Oryctolagus cuniculus: one gene and its partner. The protein of the gene in region 1 purifies or fractionates together with the protein of each later gene. This does not show direct contact. Links are inferred from orthologs where the notes say so. Each region holds a gene or a part of one and is shown on either strand. Other genes may lie near its edges.

Region 1 (3,795 bases):
GACCCTTGCGAGCTTCCATAAATTCAAGCAGCCCCTGCTCACAGTACTTAAGTGTCATGTGTGCTGACTGTGGGGGAGGTCAGGGGTGAAGTTTTCTGAGTGTGCCTCCTGTAGGCTTTAGATCCTAATGTTACCGCCATGTTTCAGGTGTCTCTGGTGATGCTACCCTCTGCTCAAGCTGTCTCCTTTCAGCCGGAAACTGACAATCGTGCCAACTTCTCCAGTGACCGAGCCTTTCATACTTTCAAAAAGCAGAGGTGATGGGAAAGGGGAACTCTGGGAGGGAGTAGGTGGCAGTCTCTCTGGAATAGGCAGTTGTTTTGTTGTCACAGAAACTGGGAGTTTGGCACTAACCAGTGGGTTGGTACCACCAGGCCCTTCCTCGCCATCCCAAGGGCCAGTTGACCTTATTCTGTTTTGTGCCCGTGGACTTGAATCCCTGAGCCTAGCAGGCCCTCTTAAGGGTCTTTAATCTCAGGGTTCCTGGGCAGGACTACCTCTCAGTGTGCACAGAGGGTGTGAGCCTGTGGTGTGCTGTGCTGGGTCTGTGACATTGTCATCCTATAAGGGACTTTGAGGTTAAGACATGGGACTGGGCAGAGTCCTGCCCTCAGTGTTCCACGTGAGAAGAGTGAGGTAGCAGCAGCCATGCCTCAGCTGATCAGGATTCTTGTGTGTCTGTCAGGGATGTGTTTTATGAGGTGCTTCGAGAATGGGAAGATCACCACGAGGAGCCCGGCTGGGACTTTGAGAAGGGCCTGGGTAGCAGGATCAGGTGGGTGCTCCGCCGCTGGTCACCGGGTCTTTCCTCTCCTGCCAGTGGGCGCTCCGTGACATGTGGGGAGATGATGGCAGGAGGCTTTGCGGTCCTCCCCACCTCCTCACCTCCAGCACCAACAGCCCTGCCTCCGCTCTGGAGGGGTGTGTCTCCCAGCTCCTTCTGCTTGTTTGCTAATGGCAGGCCCTCGGAAAAGAACAAAGCTTGTAATCCAAGTTGCTTGTTTTGACCCAAATCACTGGACAGACCCTCCAGCCTTTGTTTTCTGCGTCGTCTAGTTTGGGCCGCCCTGATGCTGGGTCTGGGTAGATGAGCAGGCGGCAGAGTGGGTTTCCTATCTGGAAGCTCACTGGTTCTTGGCGACCACTGCAGAGTTACTGGGGGCAGCGATGGCTTGCTGGGTTTGGTTTGTCTCTAGCCTCGCAGACCCTGGGTTCTGAGGGCAGTGCCCCTCTCCTTGCCCATACCCCTGGGCAGGCCCGCTGTGGCAGGTGAAGGCTGAAGAGCCCAGGGGCTGGCCTGTTCTCAGCAGTCTCCCCGCCTCCCTCTTGTACACTCTTCCTGACTCTTCCTCCCTAGAGCCATGATGGGCCAGCTCTCGGCAGCCTGCAGCCACAGCCACTTTGTTCGACTTTTCCAAAAACAGCTTCTCCAGGTAACAGCGCCTTGGCCCGCACCATCTCCCCACCCTTTTCCTTGGTGTGGTAGGAAGGGCCCAGGTTAAGAGGCCTGGTTTCACATCCCAGCTCTCGTAGCCCCTAGGCAAATCCTTTCAGCTTAGTTTGTTCCCTTACCTCTGAAACAAGAGTGTAAGCCCTCCCTCAATGCTGCCTCAGGCGCTGACAGAGTAGGCGTTCTGTAGATGTTCATCTCTCATTTTGTTCGGTCTGTCTCCCATGCACTGTTTTTGGTTTCGCTCCTCTCTCGCCCTGCCCAGATGTGTCAGAGCCCAGGTGGTGCTGGGGGCACTGTGTTGGGCGAAGCTCCAGATGTGCTCAGTATGCTGGGAGCTGACAAGCTGGGGCGGTTGCGGCGTCTACAGGAGCGACTTGTGGCCCCTCAGAGCAGTGGGGGGCCCTGCCCACCCCCCACCTTCCCGGGCTGTCAAGGCTTCTTCAGAGACTTCATCCTGAGCGCCAGCAGGTAGAGGTGCCCCACCTTTTGCAGGGCAGGAAGCAGAGATCCCTAGACTCTGCCCCTCCATTTCACTTCCCATTCTCTCCCTGGCGTGGGTGATCCCACTTCTCAGCCTCCCATCTCCCCCATTAATCCTTCCTGCCAGGGCACCTCTCAGTGCTGATCTGCCTGAACCTCTTCCACTGCCTTTTTATTTCTTCTTTTTTTCTTCTTGCTCTCCCCTCCCGTCCAGCTTCCAGTTTAATCAGCATCTTATGGATAGCCTGAGCTTGAAGATCAGAGAGCTCAACGGCCTCACCCTGCCTCCGCATGAGCCTAATGATGACGAAGGGGAGGCAGATGTCGACTGGCAGGTGAGGAAGCGGAACGCGGGCAGTGCGGGGTCTGGCCTCAAAGCAGAGGAGTGTGTTCCAAGGACGCTTGGTGACAGGCTTGGAATTGCTCTAGAAGCCTTGCGCGTAGGACCTGTTATTTCCCTTCATTCCATACAGGGTGAACGGAGACAGTTTGCTATGGTGCTGCTCAGCCTGAGGCTTTTGGCCAAATTCCTGGGCTTTGTGGCTTTCCTGCCATATCGCGGGCCTGAACCACCCCCAACCCGTGAGCTTCAGGACTCCATCCTGGCCCTCAGGAGCCAGGTGAATGGGCGGGAGATCCTGGCAGAGGGAGCCGGGAGGGCCAGTCGGCTCGGGCGCTGGCTGCTTTCCTGGGCTGTTCTGGAAACCAGGCGGCCTAGAAGGCACTGCCCGGCCCCGCCAGGTGCCCGCCCTCTGACCAGCCCTCCTCTCCCAGGTCCCACCGGTCCTGGATGTGCGGACCCTGCTGTGGCAGGGGCTGCGGGCCCGCCGGGCTGTGCTCACCGTGCCCTGGCTGGTGGAGTTCCTGTCCTTTGCTGACCACATCGTGCCCCTGCTGGACTACTACCGCAGCATCTTTAGTCTCCTGCTGCACCTGCACCGGTGAGTGGAGAAGGGCTGTGGCCCTTGACAGCCATCACCCGGAGGGACAGACAGTGGGCAGTCGTTTGCCCTTTCCTTTTTCCTCTGTGGCCCAGCAGAGAAGGAATCTGGGTGTTGGGGGGGAGGACGAGGAGAGCAAGGAGATGCCAGCTGCCCACACAGAAGCAGCCCCTCTTAGGTCTGCCGCTGGGGACATCCTCCAGTGAGACCGTTCACACCTTCCACTCGCCCCGCAGGAGCTTGGTCTTGGCGCAGGAGCGTGAAGGGGAGATGTGTTTCCTGAACAAGCTGCTGCTGCTCGCTGTCCTGGGCTGGCTTTTCCAGGTGAGCCGGGGGAGGAGGGGGAGGCTGGGAGTGCAGACCTCTGAGTTAGCGCGGCAGCGACCAGAAGATGCGAGTTGACAAGAGGGCCAGGGTGCGCCGTCGCTTCAGAGGAGGTTGCTCTGAACCGGCCGCCTAAAGCAGGCAGAGTGGAGGCTGCGCATCCCCGCGGTGCCGCCTGCAGCTCGGATGGCCTCCTCTCTGCCAGATTCCCACGGTCCCAGAGGACTTGTTCTTTTCGGAAGAGGATCAGTCAGATGGCTTCCAGGTGGACGCAGTGTCCTCAGAATATGGCTTGGTGAGTGTGGGGTCCAGCCAGAGTCCCGGGAAGTCCAAGAAGTAAAGAAAGTGGGCTGTCCAGGAGGACCCAGCCAGGACGGGCAGGATGGGCTTACCCTGTATCAGCTCCTCCTGACGGGCCGCTTCTGGGCCTGCTGGGGGGACAGGAAGCCCGCCTGCCTGCCTACACTGGCCTGTTCTCCCCCAGGACAGTGTGCCTGTGGTGGACCAGCAGCTGCTCTACACCTGCTGCCCCTACATTGGTGAGCGTCCCGCGCCCTCCCCCAGCACCCATGGTCCCGTCCCTGCCCGCAGACCCAA
Region 2 (4,491 bases), on another chromosome or scaffold:
TGTCAGGCCCGGGCTGCCAACATTTCTGTGAAATTGTACAACACAGCACACAATCCTGGATTTTTTTTTTAATATTTATTTATTTGGAAGTCAGAGTTACACAGAGAGAGGAGAGGCAGAGAGAGAGAGAGAGACAGAGAGAGAGAGGTCTTCCATCCGCTGGTTCACTCCCCAAATGGCTGCAACGCCTGGAAGTTGGGAGCTGGGAGCTTCCTCTGGGTCTCCCACGCGGGTGCAGGGGCCCAAGCACCTGGGCCATCTTCTCCTGCTTTCCCAGGCCACAGCAGGGAGCTGGATGGGAAGTGGGGCAGCCGGGACTCGAACCGGCGCCCATATAGGATGCCAGTGTTTCAGGTGGCGGCTTTACCCACTGCGCCACAGCGCCGGCCCCAGAGGGAGCACAAGGCCCTGCAGCAGGAGGGAGCCCGGGGGTGGGCAGGGGCAGGGCGGGGAGGGTGACAGGCGCGAGACGGGGCCTCGGGGCCCACTGCAGAGATCTCGGTTCCCCGCTAAGCAGGATACGCCTCTGGGGCTTGGCGCTGGGATCTGGGGTTCAGCGACAATCACGCAGCCAGCTCCTCTTCCTCCCAGCATCGGAGACGGAGTCCCCGGTACGGCCTTCCCCGGGGTCGGGAACGGACGGCGCAAAAAAAAAAAAAAAAAAAAAAAATTCACCAAGGTGAGAATAAATAAATGTTTAGTTAAACGCCTAGAAAACATCGTGCTAAGAACTCTGCTCGGGGTGGAATTCGGATGCACCATAACACATTTGGAAATACGATCGCCTAGGCCCTGGCCCCGCAGCCGTCCGGTCCCTGACTGGGCGGGAGCGGGACCCGAACCGCCACTCCCCAGGCCGGGACTCCGCGTCCGCTCACCGCAGACCCCCCAGGCCGCGCACGGCCTCAGCAGCCGGAGCCCCCGGCCCGAAACGCCCACCTGCACACACGCACCGGCATCCCCGCCGCGCCTCCTCCACCGCGCCGGCCCCCGACTTCCGCTCCTCTCCCGCGAATCCTCAGACACGCCTTCCTCTGCTCCCGCCCCCACAGCCACCTCAGCCAATTAGGTCTCCAAAAGCCTGCTTTATCCCCGCCCCACTCCTGCCTGCCAATCACGGCGGCCGCGAGTACCCGCCCTTCCCACGCTCTTAAGCGAGCGCCGCGCGCCACCGCTCGGCCGTTGGCGGTGCTGCTCCCTCAAGGATGCGTCTCTCGGAAAAGCTGCGAGAAGGGGCGGGCCCCGCCTGTGCGGGAACCCTCAGGATTGGCCGAGAGCCGGGCTCTGACTCCGCCCATCCCCGCCCCCGCCATCCGAGTCGGAGACGCTGGGGATTGGTTCCCCGCGGCCACCCCGCGAGAAGCCCACAGCTGGTCCCGCCTCCCTCGCGCGCGTGCGGAGAGGGAGCTCCGCGGATTGGTTTGAGGAGTCCGGGCGCGCGCCAGCGGCGCTCGCGGATTGGCTGACGGGGCGCTCGCGCCGCCGCGGAGCGTTTGCGGTGATTGGCTAGAGGGCGGAGCCGGCGATTTGAAGGCGGCGCGCGGACGCGGTGCGCGTTGCAGTCCGCGGCGAGAGGAGGCGGGAGCGGCCGCCGGTGACGCTGCCCCTCTGCCCGCTCCCCCGACCCCGGCTCCCGGCGACACGATGGCCAAGGTGTCCGTGCTGAACGTGTCGGTGCTGGAGAACCCGAGCCCTTTCCACAGCCCCTTCCGGTTCGAGATCAGCTTCGAGTGCAGTGAGGCCCTGGCGGACGGTGAGGCTGGACCCGTGCGGAGACCCCCACCCCAGCCCTGGGCCGACCCTGACCCCGACCTCCCCGTGGAGAGCCGCCCCGTGGCCAGGCCGAAGCCCCCCGGGGCCCCCTCCCTCCGTCCGCTTAGCCCCCCCCGCTCCCCCATCGCCCCCTCCCAAACCCCAGGACCCCCCTCTCTTGCAATGGCGCTCCTCCCAGGCACCGCTTCCTAATGATAGAGGCGCATCCACCGGCGGAGACCCCCACGCCCCCTGCCTCTTCCCCACCCCTGCCGCCCTCCTCGCCCCCGTGTCCGCCCCAGCCGTGCCCTGCCCAGTGTTTAAATGACCGCGTCCGGGGGTCATTGCGACCCCCGGGGTGGCGGTGGAGGGGCGTCCCGGCTCCCGAGGCTTCCCGGTCCGACCGTGGGCCTGGGTGGGCGGTGGGCGCGCCCCGGACCGGCTTCCCGCGGCTTCCCTATCCCGACGCCGTCCGGTGGGCGGTGGGCGCGCCCGGGGCCCGCGGCGGGGTGGTGGTCGTGGCGCACGGGAGGGCACAGCAGCCACCCGGAGCCCCGGGCCCTGCGCACGCCGGGGTCAGCCGGGGCCAAGGCCTGCGTGCACCCAGCGCTCAGCTCCAGGGCGGAGCCGGGGAGGCCGCTGGGTGGCAGGGGGGTGGCCCGCGGGGCGGCCGCCGCCTGTGGCTGACTGTGGAGTAAGCCGGCTGGAGGCTCTCTGGGACACGCAGGGCGGAAATAAAAGTGTAAGCTGGCGGGGGTTGAGACTCGCTTTAAAGGCCGGCAGGAGAGGCGAGGGGCCCCTCGTCTGAGTTCCCAGGTGACGCGGGTGGGGTGCCGTAGGCCTGCTTTAAAAGCAGGCGCTATCTGAGAAGTGGGTGCCTGCGACGCCCCGGGCCCTGCGGCCCAGGAGCCAAGCCCCCGCCTTGACCCCCTGCGCGTCCCGGGCGGGGGGCGGGGCGTCGCTGGGGCCGTGATGTCTGGGGACAGGAGCCTGGGCAACCCTGGTGTGGGGCGCCTCTGAGTTCCTTCTTCCTCTCCCAGCCCCCAGTCGGGGGCCCCCTGACTCCCAGGGGCCGCACGGAGTACATCAGGGGTGCGTGTGCTTGCGGGGAGCGGGGGAGCCCCTCAGGGAGCTGAAACAGCAGGCGCCCCGCGAGGCCAAGGCCACGGGCAGTACGGCTCGAAGACTGCGGCTCCGGACCGCCTGGTCACCGGATCGCAGCGCCGCTTCGGCTGGAGTCCTGGACGCGCAGCTTCCGACCCAGCTTCCTGCTGCTGCGCGCTGTTGTGCGCCCCTGCCGCCCACGCGGGAGACCCACGGGGAGTTCCAGGCGCCTGGCTGTGGCCTGGCCCACCTCCAGCTGTTGGCATTTGGGGAGTGGACCAGCGGGTAGAAGATCCTGCTCTTTCTGCCCCCCACCCCCCCATCGCCTGCCTTTGTCTCTCTCCTCTGTCACTCCCAGATAAATACAAATGGGAAACAGATTCTTCAACGACAATGATTTCTTGTTTAAATATTTGTTTCATTATTTATTTGAAAAGTAGAGTTACAGAGAGAGAGATAGGTCTTCTGTCCATTGGTTCACTCCCCAGATGGCTGCAACGGCTGGAGCTTCACAGATCCAAAGCCAGGAGCCAGGAGCTCCATCCAGGTCTCCCACTCAGGTGCCGGGGCCCAAGCACTTGGGCCATCTTCCACTGCTTTCCCAGGCCATAGCATAGAGCTGGATCGGAAGTGGAACAGCCGGGACTCGAACTTGCACCCATATGGGATGCCGGCACTGCAGACCCGGGCTTTAACCCACTGTGCCACAGCACCGGCCATCACTTTCTTAACGTGTGTTTAATCATAGCATTGGCTTTGCATTTGTTGTCATACGGAGTAGAGGTGTATCCTGTGCGGGGTTCAGCCTGTAAAATTGGGGATCAGAACAAAATGTAATTGACGTGCCTTTAATCGTGTTCAGAAGTTAGATAGACTGTGTGTATACAGTTATGTCCTGTATTTGGTAGGTATTTTTTTAAGAACTTATTTTATTTGAAAGGCAGAGCTACAGAGAGATCTTCCATCTGCTGGTTCACTCCCCAGATGACCACACGGCCAAGGTTGAGCCAGGCCAAAGCCAGGAGCTCCATCCAGGTCTCCCACGTGGGTGCAAGGGCCCAAACCCTTGGCCATCCGCTGCTGCTATCCCAGGTACATTAGCAGGGAGCCGGATCAGAAGTGGAGCAGCTGGAACTCAAACCAGTGCCCCTGTGGGATGCCAGTGGTGCAGGCAGTGCCTCAACCTGCTAGGCCACAGCACTGGCCCTTATGCGTTTTTATATTTTTTTTAATGGTTGATTTCTTCTACTTGAAAGGCACAGAGGCAGAGAGAAGGGAGTTCTTCCATCAGCATTTACTCAAAAGATAGAGTTACAGAGAGGGAGAGTGACAGAGAGAGATCTTCCATCTGCTGTTTCACTCCCCAAATGGCTGCAACGGCTGGAGCTGTGCTGATCTGAAACCAGGAGCCAGGAGCTTCTTCCTGGTCTCCCATGTGGGTGCAGGGGCCCAAGGACTTGGACCATCCTCCACTGCTTTCCCAGGCCACAGCAGAGAGCTGGATTGGAAGTGGAGCAGCCGGGACTCAAACTGGCGACCATATGGGATGCCAGCACTGCAGGCGGTGGCTTCACCCGCTACGTCATAGTGCTGGCCCTGAATTGGTGATTGATATCCCATGTCCAGTGCTGGTTT

What was found.
Region 2: the proteins of CDAN1 (region 1) and ASF1B purify together in Homo sapiens (co-immunoprecipitation; 5 studies listed by BioGRID and IntAct, counting the BioPlex papers as one, with this or other methods). This does not show direct contact. The link is inferred for Oryctolagus cuniculus from reciprocal best matches to the Homo sapiens genes CDAN1 and ASF1B.

What each region holds. Positions count from the first base shown.
Region 1 is NC_091443.1:65,741,064-65,744,858, reverse strand, and holds part of CDAN1 (codanin-1), read left to right. Parts: intron 1-147; coding exon 148-257; intron 258-685; coding exon 686-775; intron 776-1,357; coding exon 1,358-1,433; intron 1,434-1,715; coding exon 1,716-1,921; intron 1,922-2,147; coding exon 2,148-2,268; intron 2,269-2,406; coding exon 2,407-2,553; intron 2,554-2,707; coding exon 2,708-2,874; intron 2,875-3,110; coding exon 3,111-3,198; intron 3,199-3,403; coding exon 3,404-3,493; intron 3,494-3,682; coding exon 3,683-3,737; intron 3,738-3,795. UniProt on the Homo sapiens protein: May act as a negative regulator of ASF1 in chromatin assembly.
Region 2 is NC_091447.1:62,994,000-62,998,490, reverse strand, and holds the start of ASF1B (histone chaperone ASF1B), read left to right. Parts: upstream 1-1,531; 5' UTR 1,532-1,644; coding exon 1,645-1,753; intron 1,754-4,491. UniProt on the Homo sapiens protein: Histone chaperone that facilitates histone deposition and histone exchange and removal during nucleosome assembly and disassembly. Cooperates with chromatin assembly factor 1 (CAF-1) to promote replication-dependent chromatin assembly.